Linked DNA regions of Pelodiscus sinensis. The protein of the gene in region 2 interacts with the protein of the main gene of each other region in a pairwise test. Links are inferred from orthologs where the notes say so. Each region holds a gene or a part of one and is shown on either strand. Other genes may lie near its edges. The genes, in order: PKP3 and CTNNA3.

What was found.
Region 1: the proteins of CTNNA3 (region 2) and PKP3 interact in a two-hybrid assay, tested with the Homo sapiens proteins (2 studies listed by IntAct). The link is inferred for Pelodiscus sinensis from reciprocal best matches to the Homo sapiens genes CTNNA3 and PKP3.

The regions. Positions count from the first base shown.
Region 1 is NC_134714.1:123,836,279-123,844,993, forward strand, and holds the start of PKP3 (plakophilin-3), read right to left. Parts: upstream 3,583-8,715; 5' UTR 3,462-3,582; coding exon 3,423-3,461; intron 1-3,422. UniProt on the Homo sapiens protein: A component of desmosome cell-cell junctions which are required for positive regulation of cellular adhesion. Required for the localization of DSG2, DSP and PKP2 to mature desmosome junctions.
Region 2 is NC_134718.1:27,638,439-27,647,329, forward strand, and holds the start of CTNNA3 (catenin alpha-3), read right to left. Parts: upstream 3,512-8,891; 5' UTR 3,413-3,511; coding exon 3,370-3,412; intron 1,926-3,369; exon of another isoform or gene 1,874-1,925; intron 1-1,873. UniProt on the Homo sapiens protein: May be involved in formation of stretch-resistant cell-cell adhesion complexes.

The DNA.
Region 1 (8,715 bases), on a different chromosome or scaffold from region 2:
TACCTGCCCTCTCCCCCAAATGGCACCAGAATCAAACAGCTGAGTAAAAGAGGTCCTTAGATTGAAAAAGGCACCCTTGAAAATTGGAAGTCAAATTGCAGTGAGGAAAATAGATGTCAGAAAAATGCAGCTGTAAAGGTATAACAAGGCAGGTTGAGAACAAATTTGAAATGCAACTAGCTAAAGACACAAATACTAAGAGCAAGACAAGTTTAAGGACATGAGAAGCAGGAAGGCTGCCAAATTGGCAGGTGGGGCACTGGACAGTCAAGGTGATAAGGCCGTTAAGGAGGAACAAAATGAATTATTTGCATCCATCTTCACTGCAGATGTTGGGCAGACTGAACTGAGGAGACTGAACTGAGGAACTGTCCTAGACTGAGGTGACAATAAAACAGATTTTGGAACAAACTGAGAAATTAAACAGTATCAGGACACCAGAACCATGTGGCATTCACCTAAGAGTTCTGAAGGAACTCAGTTGTGGAATTGCAGAACTACTTACTGTGGTAAGTGACCTAATGCTTAAATCAGCTTCTGCTCCAGATGGCTGGAGGGTTGCTAATGTAGCACCATTTATTTTTTAAGTTCAGAGGGGATCCTTGCAATTGCAAGTTGGTAAAGCTAACTTCAGTACCAAGCAAATGGTTGTAAACTAGAGTAAAGAACAGAATTGTCAGACACAGAGATGAACACATTTGTTGAGGAAGAGTCTACACGGCTTTTAGAAAGGGAGGCACGCCTCACCGATCTATTAGGATGCTTTGAGAGTGTCAACAAACATGTGGACAAGGAAGATCCAGTGTTTCTAGTGTACTTGGACTTTCAGAAAGTCTTTGTCAAGGTCCCTCACCAAAGGTGCTTAAGCAAATTCAGTCATGGGATAAGAGGGAAGGTCCTTTCATGGATCAGTAACTGGTTAAAAGACAGGAAAGAAAGAGTAGGAATAAATGGTCCGTTTTCATAGTAGAGAGAGATAAATATCAGAGTCCCCCCAGGATCTGTCCTGGGGCTAGAGCTGTTTGACATATTCATACGTGATCTGAAAAAGGGGTGAACAGTGAGGTGGCAAAATTTGCAGACACAAAGTTACTGAGATAGTTCATTCCAAAGCTGACTAGGAAGAGTTACAAAGGAGATTCACATGACTGGGCAAGAAAATGGCAGATCACTTTCAATCTTAATCAGTGCAGAGCGATGCACAACAGAAACCATAATCCCCACGACACATAGAAAATGGTGGGGTCTAAAGTCACTGTTGTCACTCAAGAATGATCCAGGAGTCGTTGTGAATAGTTCTCTGAAAACGTCTGCTCAATGTGCCGCAGCAGTGAAAAAAAACCGACCCAAATGTTAGGAGCCGTTAGGGAAGGGAATGGTAAGACAAAAGTATGAAAAAGCCACCGTATCAATCCATGGTACACTCACACCTTGAACACTGCGTGTGTTTCTGGTCACCCCACCTCCAAAAAGATCTTGGAAACAACACAGAGAAGGACAAAAATAATGATTAGGGGTCTGGAACAGCTTCCATATGAAGAGAGATTAAGGAGACTGGGACTGTTTAGCTTAGAAAAGAGATGGCTAAGGACGGATATGTGAGAGGTCTATAAAGTCATGACCGGTGTGGAGAAAGCGAACAAAGACGCATTATTTATCCCTTCACATAAGACAAGAACCAGGGGTCACCCAATGAGTTCAAAGGCAGCAGGTTTACAACAAAGTCAAGGGAGTATTTCTTCATCCTACGCACAGACGACCCGTAGAACTGATTGCCATGGGTGTTGTGACAGCCAAAAGTAGAACGGGGTTCCAAAAGAATGAGATATGTTCACAGAGGATAGGTCTATACTGACGATTAAGCAGCATGGTCACGGATGCCACACTTTGCTCCAGATGCCCCTAAATCTCTGACTGCCGGCGGCTGGGACTGGACGGCAGGGGATGGAGCACTTGATAATTGCTCAGTTCTGTTTGCCCCCTTGGAAGCACCTGGCACCGGGAGACAGGACAGGGCTAGCCGGACCATGGCTCTGACCCCGCGTACCCATTCTTATGACCTCCATGAGGCTGAGGGCCCGACTCTGTATGTGCAGTGGGGCTGCCAGGCAGGGCATTTTGCACTGAGGAGGAGCCTGCAACTGCTGGGGAGTGGGTAGAGTGTCTAGTCAGGGACAGCTGAATGACCCCCCCCCCACACCACCATGGGGCAGAGCACAGCTCCGGGATGCACTGAAAGCCAACCCACACTCCCTCCGCCCCCGCCTGCCCGGCCACTGTCCCCACTGAGCGGTGCTGAGCCAGGAGAACAGTCTGGCCACATCTCTGCCTAGAGTGACTCCCGCATTAGTCCCCCTTCTGCTTGCTCACTTGCCCACACTCCCTCTCCCTCCCTTCTCCACCTGCTGCACCCTTGGTGCTCCCCACTTCTGCCCCACGGCTCGAACTCCGGCCAGGGACCACTGCAGCTTCGCCTTTCCTCAGCGGTGTTGGGTGCAGAGGGGAGGCGTCACCTGCACCCGCCACGAGCTACGAGCAGCCAGGCGCCAAAAGGGCTCCTGCAGCTCCTGCCAGGGAAGCCCCCAAACTGCTTCACAATCTCTGCCCACCGCCCTGCCTCTTCCCCCAGTGGCGGCCGCACAGCTAGCAGAGCTCTGGCCTCGGCACCGCTAGGCCTAGTGTGGAAACGGAGGCAGGGAGCAGTGATGTGACAGGCCCAGGGGTACCCAGCTGAGGTGCAGGAACCAGCTCGTGTGGCTCCCAGCGGAGAGGTCTGTCCCCTCAGCCCCACAAGCTGAGGTAGCCACCTCGGGCCCCGCCCTTGCTATGCAGCCCCCACCCGAGTAGGGCTGATAGAGTCACTGGGGTGGCTCAGCACAGTCAATGCTCGGAGAGGGGAGCAACTGGCCCTTCACAGAGCTGGGAAGTTACTGGGCGCTCAGGGCCTTGTCTCCCTTGTGACCTGCTCTGTCAAAGCCCCACAAGCATCCCTGGGCGCTGGCCCAGGAGGTGCAACTAGCCCTTGCCCTAGGGAGTCAGCTGCTATCACCTCTCCCCCACCCCCGGCACTTCTGTGCCATTCGCAAACCCACAGCAGGAGCACTGTGGGGCTCTGACCCTTTCTTCTGCCTGGTCCAAGCATCCGCTGCCTGGCCCGAGTGCCTCAAGGCCAGCACACGGCCACCACAAGTCCCACTCCTCAAGTCCCTGCCCCGGCTGTGGCACCCCCGACTCCCACGCCCCCCAGCTGGCCACCTCACCCCAGGGGAAGCGCAGGAGCCAGCACAAAGCACAGGAGCAGACTCCCTTGGAGACGGGGCTCACAGCAGCCCAGCATCCAAGTGACTTGGAGCTGGAAAATCCTGCAGCCTTAGGAAGTGGGGGAGCCAAGAGAGAGAGAAAGAAAAAAGGCGGAGACGTACGGTGCCCAGCGGCCTGGAGCCCAGGGTGCCCTGCAGCATTCTCCTGATGACGGACGGAGCCCAGCGCCCCCCGTGGTCCCAGGCAGATCTCCCCCTCCGCCGCCGGATGGGCCAACCGAACTAACTGTGCCGTCGCTGTGGCTGCCGACTGGCACACTGGGCTGGGAGTGGGCGACACCCGCTGAGCTGATCCAACCGGTTGCGGTGCCTTTGTTGCGTGCGTGTGGTGGAAAATGCATCATCGCCTCACAGACAAGTTTGTGCGCTCCGGGGTTTGGTGGAGCCCGGCTTACGTAGCTGCGAGGGGCGCTGGCTGCGCGGCGAGCACCTTGGCACGGGCTGGGGAGGCGGCAGGCCTCTCTCAGAGCTTCGCAGGAGGAGAGCAAGGCCTGCATGGAGCTGCCATCCCAGCCCGCCCTGGATACACTCACACGTGCGGGCACGTGGGCTGGGCATCCACAGAGGAATCTGTGAGGAGGCTGGGACATTGCTTCAGGCGATGGCCCTGGGCGCTTTACAAGAGGCAAGCCCCGGCCATCAGTCCCCTCTCACACTCCGCTCCATTGGCCCTCCTGGCCTACGCATCTCGGTCCCATTCCCAGGCCTCCTTTCCCCTTTCTCTCCCTCACTTCCCTCTTGGGCAGCTTAGGCCCATTATTAATACAGCAGGCTGACAGGGCACCTGTGTAGGTTCTGTGTAAATGGGCAGCTGGGCCAAACAAGCTGGGAGGGCCAGCAGCCTGGGGCGCAGGCCGGCAGGGTAAGATAAACAGAGGCGCACAGGGTGGGCTTTGCGTGGGTAGACACCCGGGGCCCAGCCTGAGTTGCTTGGGTGGCCTTTCTGACTGGACGGGGCGGTGAGGGCGGAGCTGCGCTGTCGGGAGTGGGCAAGGGGGATGGCTGCCAGGAGGGAGGCTTGGGTGGAGCCCAGGGACCATGGAGGGCTCAGACACGGGCAGGGCGGGGGCACAGAGAGCTTAGAAGGGCAGGAGGAGCTCAAACTTCACACAGCCTAGGCAGGGAGGCAGGAAGAGGGAGACAGGGCGCGAAGGCCTCGGTAGCCCGAAAAGGCTCCGGCGCTCTTGGGTCTGAACCTTGGAGGCGGGGAAACTCTCTGAGGGGAACTTTCCAGTGCGTCCAGCTGGGAATCCCCCCAGGGCAGCTGGCCAGCCATAGAGCATCCCCTGGGCGTGCGGCGAGAGGCCTGGATGGAAGATGCGAGGGGGGTTCCCAGCCGGACGCACTAGAAAGCTCCTCTCAGAGAGTTTCCCCACCTTAGAGGTTCAGACCCAAGAGCGTCAGAGCTACCGGGGGAGAGAACTGAGTGTCCATGAACCTCCCAAGAGCTTTGCTCCAAGCCTGGGGCAGAGAACCGGGGAGGCAGGGAGGTGCTACCTTTCTCCAGCCAGTGGTAGGGATGAAGTCAGTGGGATAGCTGGGCTTTGCAGAAGGAGGCGTGTAGATAAGTTCGTCGGTCCCTGCGGGATCCTCGGGGGTGGCGTTGATGCCCAGAAGTCAGCTTGTATCTGTCATGGGCCTGGGGCTGGAGGATCTAGCAAGCAGCAGCCTTAACTGAAAAGCCACATCAGCTGAGAGACAGGGAGGACGTAAAGCTGCCCAGTGAGGGCCCGAGCCCGGCGCCCCCACAGCACTCCCTGGCTCTAGGAGCAGGCCCGGTGCCCCTTTCGCAGCAGGGAGACCGAGCCCCACGTGCTTTCCATGGTGCACACGGCTCCAGCTGTCCTGCAGCCCACACAAAGACCAGCTCGTGCGCAACCTGGGAAGGCAGCTGCAACGGGAAGGGGCCTGTGCTGGGGTTGGAAGAACCTCGTATGCGACGGTCCCCTAAGCACTCAGGCTTCCAGTAGTCAGAGGAGCCTGTTTGCAGGCCCGGGATTCACTGGGAGCCATGTGCAGACCCCTTCACGGAAAGCTGGGGTTTCCACACGCCAAGCCGGTCGGAGCCATGGGCAGCCAGCCCTCTGAACTGCTCAGGCCTGGTCTTCTGGGGCAACCCAGCCTTCGCCAAGCCCACTGTGCAAGAGACGGAGGAGCATGTCTTGAGAGCAGCCCCTGCTGCACCCAAGTGCTTGGGGTGCCCAATACGACAGGGCAATAAACCCAGGAGCATTTCTCCCGCCTCGTGCTCACACAGAGAGAGGGGGCCGGTGGCTGGCACCTGGGAATGGAGGGGGAAGTGAGCTGGGAAGTGGCCAGGCAGACGGGCCGGACGCTCCCCCACAGGTCTGGCTACGTAGAGACAATCTGCCGGGTGTCACCCGAGCTGCCCATGTTCCCTGCTCCTGCTGGTGACCAAGAGGACAGCTGTTCTCTGGGAAGTGCTTAGAGGCTGCAGTGATGGCCCAGCCTACGACAGGGTGGTGCCTCTCAGCAGAAGTGATGATGCTGGAACGCCGCATGGACGGCAGGTGCGTGCTGCACCCTGCTATGCTGCGGCGGGAGGAGGAGATGTCAGGAATCGCCCAGGGCCTGGGAGGCTGAAGGCTTTCCCAGTCTGCCTGTGGATGGGCTGCCCATTGCAAGAGAATCCTGGTGATGGCCCTAAGATCAGAAGAATGTGCCGCGGCACCCGCTTTCTGGGCAAGAGAACATGACACCCGGCTGCGAGGGAATGTCAGTGATGGCGTCCCCAGGGTGGAGGGGCTGGACCAGGGTGTGTTGTGCAACTCAAGAGAAGCCACCTTTGAAAGAAGCCCAACCTGTGGCGCGCCGCCCAAAGGGCCGGCTTGGAAGTGACGCTCACATTAGTCACTCTGAACGGCCCGTCTCTGGTGGCAGAGACCCAAAGGATAAGCCAACGCCCCCCGCAACAGGGGCCCCCTGAGTGGCATTCGGGAGGCAATAGTTTAGATGCATGCAGCCTGGGAGACTGCCCCACTGTCCCGCCAGGGCAGAGATGGCCTGTGCAGAGGAAGGGGTGGGGCAGAGGAAGGGGCAGGACAGAGCTCAAGGGAGCTCCCCCGGCGCTCGTGGGCAGGAGTGCAGCCAGGGCTTGGCCTATCCTGGAAATGGTTCTTCATGCCGAGAGCAGGTGCCAGAAGTGGGACAGCTGCCGTCCCTACGGGTGCAGACTGGGCCTTGCTGTGCTCAGCAGCTTCTCCGAGAGCCGTGGCTCCAGCCAGGCCCCTGACAGCTTGAACCGAAGGTCTCCAGGCTCGGGCTGGGCTTGCTGCTGAACCGGTGCGGGCACACAGCCGTAAGAGTTTAGCCCACCACCCACGACTGCCAAACCTGAAACCGAGGCCAAGCCGGGCCAGTGTAGCCAACTCCACAGCACAAACACCTTTGGGACTCGGGGGTGTTTGGCAGTGGCAGGAATTCACCAAAATCCCTCCCTTGGGTTTGGTTTTCACCTTGCCCGTTCCCCAGGCCTCCATCACCCCCGGGGATGGGCTGGTAGCCCCCTGTACGTGTGCACACCCAGCACAACAGGCAGGGGCCACCGGCCTGTCAACACTTGCTACCAACAGCAACTGGGCTTTTGCTCCAGGGCCAGATTCCCAGGCACCTGGCAAGTAGGTTCTGAGTCCGAAATGGCAACCGGAACCAACAGTCTGTGGCTGATGCCCTGGCTCCCTCGCCTCGCACTGCCCCTCCTTGCTAAGCCAGGGGGCCAAAGGCCAAGGCGCCCTGCGGAGGAAGGCCAAGCTTATGGCCAGGGCTCCAGATTCACAGGGGAATGCTGGGCTGCAGGGCCTGTCGCCACCGGGCCTGTGGTTCGAGGCCAGCTCAGCCGGGGCACAAAGAATGAGTTTGCTGCCGGCCGGGTCTTCGCTAGCTTGTGTGAGGTGATCGCCGTCCAGGGGCTGGCGTTCTGAGCCTCCTCCTAGAACACACCCCTCCTGTCAGAACAAGCCTGGACTCCTTCCCACGCTGCCCCGGCCTGAACCTGGCCTAGAGTGAAATCGGGCTGCCAGTCTGGCACCCTCCCTCCTGCTACAGTCGAATGCGAGGAAAGCCACAGCCAGGTAGCGCTGTCTCTGTGCGCCCTGCACTTAGCCTGTCGCTCGGGGCTGCAACGGGCTGGCAAAGGCCCAACAGTGAGTCAATGGCAGGAGGGTTTCATAAGCCGCCAGCGGGTGAATGATTCTGGAATCTTCTGTGCAAACCCCCACGTCTCTTGCAAATGCCGGGCAGACTTCTCCCTGCTGACGAGCCGGAAAGCAAGGAGCCAACCTGAGCTGCAGGCTTCGCAGCCCCTCCAGATGCTGCACTTGGGATGTCCGAGCGAGGCTGAGCTGGAAACCTCTTTTCCCCACTACCTAACCCCCTCTGGAGACTTACGTGGGGCCAGCTCCTCAGCTGGTGCAAAGCAGAGCAGCCTCCTTGGAGTCAGTACTGCTCATGAAGTGCCCAGTTGGCTTGTCATAGGGATAATGATACTCACCCGCCTGTAGGAGACGCTCAAAGACCCTCCGGTATCCACTCTCATCATTGCAAGGTCCACGCACCAGACCTTTCTCTTTCCCTCTTTCTCCTCAGGGGCTCCTAGGTAGCAGCACTAATGCTCCCCTTCCAACTCAACTGTCCAAGCCACTGACTTCTGAGTGGACTTGGAAAGAGGCAAAAGGGGCTTCCCCCTCTCTGGCCAATTACACCTTCTCTCCTGACATTTCCTGCCCTGTCATCTTTGTGACATCGACTGCTTTCTCATGGGATCATTACAGGCCTTCCTGGCACCATTTATTCCCCAGGGACAGGAGAGGGCTGGGTCCCCAGTGACATCCCATCATTAGCCTTTGTTAGATCAAGGAAGTCACTGTCCCGCCCAGTTCCCTTGGTTCTTGTGACTGTGGTTCTATGAGGAAGCCATCTGGTCCCTAATAGTTGGGTGTCTAGCCTGTGCTTAATTAACTCCTTGGTAGCAACCTCCCTTAAAATAGAGCTGTTGTAATTTTTTAAATAGCAATTTGAAAGTACAGATACAATGGCCTTTAAAATATATGTTTACAAAATTATTCCAGTTTTCTTGGAATTTTCCTTTTTTTCAAAAACTTTGTTTTGTTTCATCATCTGCAGTTTTGATTGATCACCTTAGACACGTGCTCTTTTTGTAAATTAATTCTTTTGGGCATAGTGAGGGGGAGGGGAAAGGATTTCACCATCAGGACATTTCGATGATAAAGTGTTGACATGTTTTAGAAAATTCTAAGTTTAAAAGTGAAGAAATGTCAATGGGAAAAGTTTGAAGAGATTTTTTTTAAAGCCCCTTTCAAAAACAACAGGAACAAAACATCTTCACCACTTGCCCCAATTTTTGCAAACAAGTTTT
Region 2 (8,891 bases):
TGATGGAGAGGAGGAGAATAGAGAGGGCGGGGCTTCAGGGAAGGGGCGGGGCGGTAGATCTTGGCTTGGTCTGTCATTTAAAAAATGATCTTGGGTGTAAAAAGGTTGGAGACCACTGCTGTAGGGGGATGGCAGGTTGCAGTCAGGTGTCCTGTCATCTGGGGGAAGGGGTGAGCTACTTGCAGAGCTCCAGGAAGTGGCCTTTCACGTATGGAAGTTCTGAAACTGCTGCTGGTCATTTTATGACTGCAGGACTATGTAGTCCCAGCAGTCTGAACTGATCTCCCTCCACCAGAAGCGGCGTCTGATGGTGTCCAGGGGTTTAGGAACATTTGCAGCAGCAGGAACACCAGGATGTGAGTGAAGGGATCCTCGTGTTTGGGCTAGATGTCATCCTGCTGGAGCAGCATGCAAACTATCTGGAAGAACTGTGCCAGGAAGTGCAGCATGAGGCCCATGAGGCAACTCTGGCTCCATGATGTCAATGCTGTGGCATCCACAAGGGCAACCAGGGCACACTGCATCAATTTGGAGTCCTGTGATGGTGGAGGCAATGTAGGAGTGGTGTGAGAGATGCGGCCATAGAGAGGAGCCCCTGAAAGCATGTGTCGCAGCTTCCCATATCAAGCAGCCACAGGAAGTGTCTGCCCTCTTGGTGCCTTCCTCAGAGTGCTTCTGGGGGATCTAAATCTGAAGAAGGCTCCAATCAGTGTGGACGCACTATTTTAAAATTATTCTGAGCTATTTCGATGTTCCCCTATAATGTGGATGCTCTATTTCAATGTTATTTCATATATTAATTTGATTTAACTTCTTTTGAAATTATTTTCTAGTGTAGACATGCCCTTAGAAATTAACAAAAGTATATATAGTATCGTGAGCTTTGGTGGGCAAAACCCACTTCTTCAGATGAGTTTGAGTTCATCTGAAGAAGTGGGTTTTGCCCACCAAAGCTCATGATGCAAAATCTTAGCAGTTTTCAGTTAGCACAGTTTTCACAGCATTGCTTACAAACTTTTGAATCCTCAGCTCTGACCCATAGACATATTCATAACATACATGAGTGGAAACATGACTGTTATGTTATTAATTGGGAGCATTCTTATGGATTAGAAACATATCAAAGAGCAAAGCATAGAGGTAATGGGGGAAATAACCCAAGATACTTTCTGATTTGTATCTCCAAAAGAATCACTTGTAACTGGGACTATCTTGCCTCTTCAACGAATAAACAACTTTTCCAGGTGAGCATTTCTACTGAGATCACAGCCCTTTGTTAATAAAAACAAAAGAACTACTCCAGCACAGTATGCCCTTTGGACACAATAGGACTGTTGGTTATAAGATACTATGATGCCAGGCTACTATAACTTGGAACTCAACTTTATTAATCTATACACTTATCCATTTCACCAGTATATTGCAACATTTCATAATACAGAACCGTAGACATGACTTTTAGGTGTTATGGAAATAGAGTATTCCTGTCTGTGGAACCAAAAAACAACCTGCATTCTTACACAATGGTATACTTTAAGCTAAGTGCTAACTTTTATGATGTCGTCTTATCAAGAATGATCAAGAACAGCTTGTCCAAACTGACATACCTTTTATAGATATATTGAACTAAGAGGCAAGTAAAAAGAAAGAAAAGCAAAAAAGTTCTGTGGCCTGAAATAAAATTCAACTATACAAATGATAATTGTTAGAGAAGTTCTGAAGTACAATTTGGATACTCTTTAATTTAAATAAAATATTGTAACAACAGAAACTGGGACCAAAAATACGCTAATCTTTCTAATATATAATCATTAGAAGTTTGATTGCTAAATCATCACAAATTATATTAAAAAGATAATGCCTCATAACTCACCTATCCCAAACACAAACCGTCCACATTCAAGAGGAAAGCAATGGTCTAAACACCAGGAAAAGTACTTAGGACTTCAGTACAACTATTATAGCTAATGGTGCATCTGCGACCTCATGGCCTGACAAGCACTCTAGTGTATTTCAGGATGACTGACAGGGTACAGTGGCTGCTAGTGGGGGCTGGGCATCCTTAAAGCTATATACAAAAGTAGAAATATTTCAAGATACAATTAAAAATGGAGCACAATTAAAAATGGAGCAGTATTCTTATTTATTTTGAAGAACTAGAGGACATGAAGTAAGTTTTTCTACAACGTCTTTAAGAAAGAGATAAATAAGAGAAAAATATCACACTGCCTCTATAACAATCCATGGTGTGCCCATATATTTAATACTGCATGCAAATGTGGTCACCTCATCTCAAAATAGATATCTTAGCACTGGAAAAAAGGTTCAGAAAAGGGCAGCAGAAATGAGAGATATGAAAATGTGCCATATGAGGAGAGATAAGACTGGAACTTTTCAGCTTGGAAAAGAGACAACTAAGGGGAGATATGATTGAGGCATATAAAATTGTGATTGGTATGGACAGGGTGACCATATTTCCCAATGCTGAATACACGACGCCTGGTAAAATTACTCCAATTCAAGTGAGTTGAATAGGAATCCATCAGAATTATACAATACAAATTTTCAAATTAACTTCAGACTGACTGCACTCCTGTTGAAAATAAAAACTGCACAGCTGGAGTCTTTTTATTTACCTTATGTTTAAGGTTTGCACAGGGAGAGATGACACACACATATTCCCTACGTCTCTCTCACATCAGGATGGGGTGACCGACCAACCTCACCCTGTTCAGTGCTCTCCACCCTCCTTGCCTGACAGTCCCTGGGATGGACTCATCTCTCCTGACATCTGGTGCTGCATCTTCTCAAGACAACATGTGGGGGAGGAGGTATGCAGGGTTACAGGAACCCTTCTCTGATTTCTGTTGGGGTTTATGGCAGAGCATGGCAAGCAGCAGCCGATCAACACTGTGCAGGAGGGAACGGATGGAAGGAGCTTCCAGCAGAATGGAGGTGGGAGTTGAGAGAGGGATGAACTGGCCCATGTTTTTCCAGAGGTCATCTCCTCCTTCCCTCTGCTCCTCAATGCCTGGAAGCAGCTTGTCCCTTCCTACCCACACAGTGTAGAAAGGCAGCTAACACCTTCAAGCTGCTGCTGGCTACTGACATAGCCCAGCTGCCTCTTGTCTTCCAGCTGCAGTACAGGCAGGAAGGGGCTAAGCCCTAAGCATGTACTAAACAGGGCCCAGGGAACCTGACGGCAGGGGCTTTAGCCAAACTGGCCGGAGAGGTGGCTCAGCAGGGAAGGGTGCCTAGGAGACAGAGCAGACTCACACTCCCTGGGGGCAGGACATAGTGCGATTGGCAACACGTGAAATCTTTAAAAGACTCATTTCCATGAGACTGCTTCAAACATCTGAGACTCACCTGCAGCCTTCAACCCAGCTCCTTCCAAACTAAGTAGCACCATGCCAGAGTCAGAACAGGCTGCGTTGCAGGTCCCCTCTGCTCAGTGTCCAAACAGATCCCAAGCTGTTCTCCCACAGCAATTGCCCTCAGCCCCCAACATTCTCAGCAAGCAGCTTCCCCTCTGGCTTCACTTTCCCCTCTTATAGGCCTCACCTGGGCCTGTGGGGTGCTGACATGCTCCAGCTAATTCCTGAATCCTCCCCTCCATGAGCCTTTGTCTAACAAGCCAGGGCCCTACAGCTGTGGGTTTCTTACTCCTGCCTCCTTCTGGACTATCTCAGGGCTCCAGATGGGTGGAGGGCTGCTGAGTGGGGCTAAAATAGTGCAAAGCAACCGGAGCAAATAGGTGAATCCTGCCCATCACTTCAATATCAAGAAAGAAATCCACTAATCTCCTGTGGCATTAAGGCAGCCAGCTTGCCTTCATCACCACTCTCCAGCCAACACTGGCTGCTGCATCCCTGGCTGTCTTTGCCTTACTCCTCTGCTTCCAGTTGTATCCACTTCCACCTCCCAAGGGTGGCATGTTGGCTACCAGGCTGGCACTGAAGCAATTAAATGAGGCAGCTCTCTGATAATGCAGGCTGGAACTCTCAGGGAAGGCTGGAGGTTCAACAACTGGGAGAAATTACAACTTCACTTCCGAAGAAATGAGATGACCCCATCCATCAGTCACTGAATTGTCAGTGTGAAAGCCTCCTTCTTAAACAATCAACCTATTCGCATCCTGGGTGGCATCAAAACTGCATGTGAGGGATGTAGTGCAAGTGTTGGGACATCCCTTGACTAGCTGAAGTTAAGCCCCATCCCAACTGGGCCAGAACAGTTCATCTGCACCACACTGTACTTTACCTACTGCTGAGGCAGCTTAAGAGAGATGCCTATTGTTTTGTGCTCCTGCTTCTATTCTGGATATTATGGTACCTCCTGGAGTGTGGAAGGGTGTGGAGTCTGACTAGGGCCTCTCTGTCTGGGAGGGAGAAGAATCCCTGGGACACTCTATGGCCACAGATGGCCAAGATCTTACATTTTATAACCCCTCTGTAAGGGCACCTGCAACAGCTCTCTGCCCTGCTACAGCCCCTCTGCTGCATTGCCTCAATGTGCTAGCTCAGAGAGACTCATCAGCATCTCGGTTTTCCCTCTGCCTGGTGCCAGCCCTGCTCAGCTTGTGGGAAATGACCAGAGCACACCCCAATGCCACAAGGCTGTGGCACAGTGCCGTGCTGTCTAGGGCTTGTGAGTGACTTTCCCCAGCAAAACATGCGGTCAAGTTGACTTTGGACCTGAATTTCCAAATGAAAAGCACAAGCACCATGGTATCTTTCCTTCCACGGCTTGTGTCCACGCATCATCAACTGCCTGCTTGCAAGATAATGATGTCTGATTTTGGAGCCAGCTGGTGCAAAAGTGTTACCATGTGGCACTAGGAGCTAAGCACTTGAGAACAATGGCTTGGATGCGGGATTTTCTTGTGGGATTCAATAGAAGGGTGGAGGGTACAAAACAGATTCATGAGGGGGAGATTTAATAGCCACAACAGCGCAGTACTGTGGGCACAAACAAGTTTTCCTGTAAGGCTGAGCTAAAGGTAAACCCCTGAAAGAGATTGGCTGATCATATACAAAGTTACTGAGCCCAAGTTCTGTTCCTCCAGGATCTCTGTCTACCTGCCCCACTTGTCCACTTTAAAGAGCTCTTAGCTCTGGCATAGACAGACCACAGGTGGTATATGGCTCATAGAAGCTCACAAAGGAGGGGGTGACCAATGGATTCCCTCTATGGATCTGTACTGGGCGGGGGGAAATACCCTAGACAGGGAAGTGAACAGGGAAGTGGCAAAGTTTGCAGATGATACAAAAAATATTCATGAATATTAAGGCCAAAGCAGACTGTAAAGAGCTAAAAAGGGATCTCACAATTCTGAGTTCCTAGGCAACAAAATGGCAACTGAAATTCAACATTGAGCCCTGGCCTACGTTCTCCTTATTTCGAAATAACAAGTGGAGCATCCACACAACCAAGCCTGTTACTTCACAATAACGGGCTGGTTATTTTGAAATAACAACTCCTGCTTTCCATGAGGAATAACAGTTATTCTGAAATAGCGTGAGTGTGGATGCTTCACTGCTGCTATTTCTAAATAATTACTCCTCAGAGTCATTCAAAGTAATTACTCCCCAGTGCTTCCTGGGGTTCTAAGTCGAGGTAGCACATCCATATTAAAGGAGGCTTCCTGGGACTAATTTCAAGAATTCCCTGTAGTGTGGACACGCTATTTCAAAATAATTCTTTTGGGAGTTATTTCAAAATAATTTCCAAGTGTAGACATGCCCAAAGAAGTGCAAAGAAATGTACTTTGGAAAAGATAATCCCATCTATATTTATATAATGATGGGTTCTAAAATAGCTTTTATGCTAGCAAAAGATGTTGGAGTCACCATGGGTAATTCTCTGAAAACTTCTACTCCTTGCGCAGCAGCATTTACAAAGGTTATCGGTATATTAAGGATTATTAGGAAAGGGATAGAAAATAAAACAGAAAATCCCATCCTGCTACTATATAAATCCATGGAATGCCTACATCCAGAGTATTCTGTCCAGTTTTGAGTGAAATGTCTAAAAAAGCAGACAGTGGGATGGAAAAAGATTCAGAGAAGGTGCTAAGGGTCTAAAGAAGTTCTCAAAAATTAACTTTTTTAATTATTGTTATTTGTGAAGTGGAAGAAAGCATTAAATCACTGCTTGTAACATGTGCAGGTGACAAAATGCAAGCAGCGTGGTAAATAAGGCTGGAGCCAGGGCAGTGACATAGAACGATCTGGATCCCTTAGGAAGCTGGACCCATGTGAACAGAACAGGTTTTCACAGAGCCAAATGCAAGGCCCTACCTCAGTCCCAAAGCATGCAGGCCACACCCCTGGAATGAGGGACACAAGCAGTGTCTCTGAGGAGGATGTAGGGGTCCTGTTAGGCAAGTTGCTCAATAGAAGCTTCTAAAGCGATGCTGTGGTCAATACGGCTAAAGGCAGCATTAGACATATGAGCAGATGAGGGAGTAGGGCAGATAGGTGACACTGCATCCGTGAGACTGAGTCTTTGTCTATACTTCAATGATCTATCAGAAAAAGGTACGCAAAATACACTCCGCAATTTTTTTTTTGGCGAACGGGAGCAGCAAACAGGGAGTTTTGAGAGGGAGTTCTCCAGGTAAAGGAGGAGCAAGTACGGGACCCTTGAGGTAAGTGGCTGTCTGTAGAGTGTGTTTGTGTGTTTGGGGGTTACTTACTGTGTGCTGAGCTTGTGTTTGTCTGTTTATTGTGTTTGCTTGTTTGTTTGAAGGAGCGTGTGCTGTGGCTGGCAGTTGGAAGCTGTGAGCTTCTAAAGGTTTGAAATCTAGGGACAGGTAGGCAGGCAGAGCTTCAGCATCTCAATGAGTGGATGAGACAATGGTGTAGGGAGGTGGGGTTAGCTTTATAAGAAACTGGGGAAACTTTTGGGATGGAGGGAGCCTATACAGGAAGGATGGGCTCCACCTAAACCATAGTGGATCCAGACTGCTGGCACATAACATTAAAAAGGTCACAGAGCAGTTTTTAAACTAAGAGATGGGGGAAAGCTGATTGTTGCAGAGGAGCACGTGGATCGGACAGAGATGTCTCTTAGAGGAGAGCCTATTGAAAGAGATTCTCTAGGTTTTAGTCAGGAGGAGAGGATGGAAGAGGATAAAGTATTGGCCAGATCAGATGAAAAGCATTCACATAAAAAAGAATCTGACACATCAGAAAAGGGCAGACAAATAAACAGTGACAAGTTTTTAAAGTGCTTGTACACAAATGCTAGAAGTCTAGAGTGCCTCGTTTTAAAGGAGGATACTGATATAATAGGCATCACAGAAACCTGGTGGAGTGAGGACAATCAATAGGGCACATTCATTCCAGGGTACAAAATATATCGGAAGGTCATGCGGGTGAGGGAGTGGCACTATATGTGAAAGAAAATTTAGAATCAACTGAAGTCAAAATCTTAAATGAATCAACATGTTCCATAGAATTGCTATGGATAGTAATTCCCTGCTCTAATAAGAATATAACAGTAGGGATCTATTACTGACCACCTGACCAGGACAGTAATAGTGACTATGAAATGCTAAGGGAGATTAGAGAGGCTATCAAAATAAAAAACTCAATAATAGTGGGGGATTTCAACTGTCCCCATATTGACTAGGTATACGTCACCTCAGGATAAGATGAAAAGATAAAATTTCTTGATACCTTAAATGACTGCTTCTTGGAGCAGCTGGTATAGGAACCCACAAGGGGAGAGGCAATTCTCGATTTAGTCCTGAGTGGTGTGCAGGATCTGGTACAAGACGTAACTATAACAGGACCGCTTGGAAATAGTGATCATAATATAATAACATTTAACATTCCTGTGGTGGGAAGAACACCTTAGCAGCCCAACACTGTGGCATTTAATTTCAAAAAGGGGAACTATGCAAAAATGAGAAGGTTAATTAAACAGAAATTAAAAGGTACAGTGACTAAAGTAAAATCCCTGCATGGACACTTTTCAAAGACACCATAATAGAGGTGTCTATTAAATGTATACCCCCAACTTAAATGTATACCCCAAATTAAAAAACATAGTAGAAGAATTAAGAAGAGCCACTGTGGCTTAACAACCATGTACGAGAAGCAGTGAGAGATAAAAAGGCATCTTTTAAAAAGTGGAAGTCAAATCCTAGGGAGGTAAATAGAAAGGAACATAAACACTGCCAAATTAAGTGTAAAAATGTAATAAGAAAAGCCAAAACCTCAATAATAACAAAATGTTTTTTATGTACATCAGAAGCAGGAAGCCTGCTAAACAACCAGTGGGGCCCCTGGACAATTGAGATACAAAAGGAGCACGTAAATATGATAACGCCATTGCAGAGAAACTAAATGAATTCTTTGCTTTAGCCTTCATGGCTGAGGATGTTCGGGAGATTCCCAGACCTGACCCATCCTTTGTAGGTGACAAATCTGAGGACTTGTCCCAGATTGAAGCGTCATTAGAGGAGGTTTTGGAATTAATTGATATACTTAACAATAACAAGTCACTGGTACCAGATGGCATTCACCCAAGAGTTCTGAAAGAACTCAAATGTGAAATTGCAGAACTATTAACTATGGTTTGTAACCTATCCTTTAAATCAGCTTCTGTACCCAACAACTGGAAGATTGCTAATGTAACGCAAATATTTAAAAAGGGCTCTAGAGGCGATCCTGGCAATTACAGACCGGTAAGTCTAATGTCAGTACCGGGCAAATTAGTTGAAACAATAGGAAAGAATAAAAGTGTCAGACACATAGAAGAACATTAATTTGGTGGACAAAAGTCAACATAGTTTCTGTAAAGGGAAATCATGTTTTACTAATCTATTAGAGTTCTTTGAAGGGGTCAACAAACATGTGGACAAGGGGGATCCAGTAGAT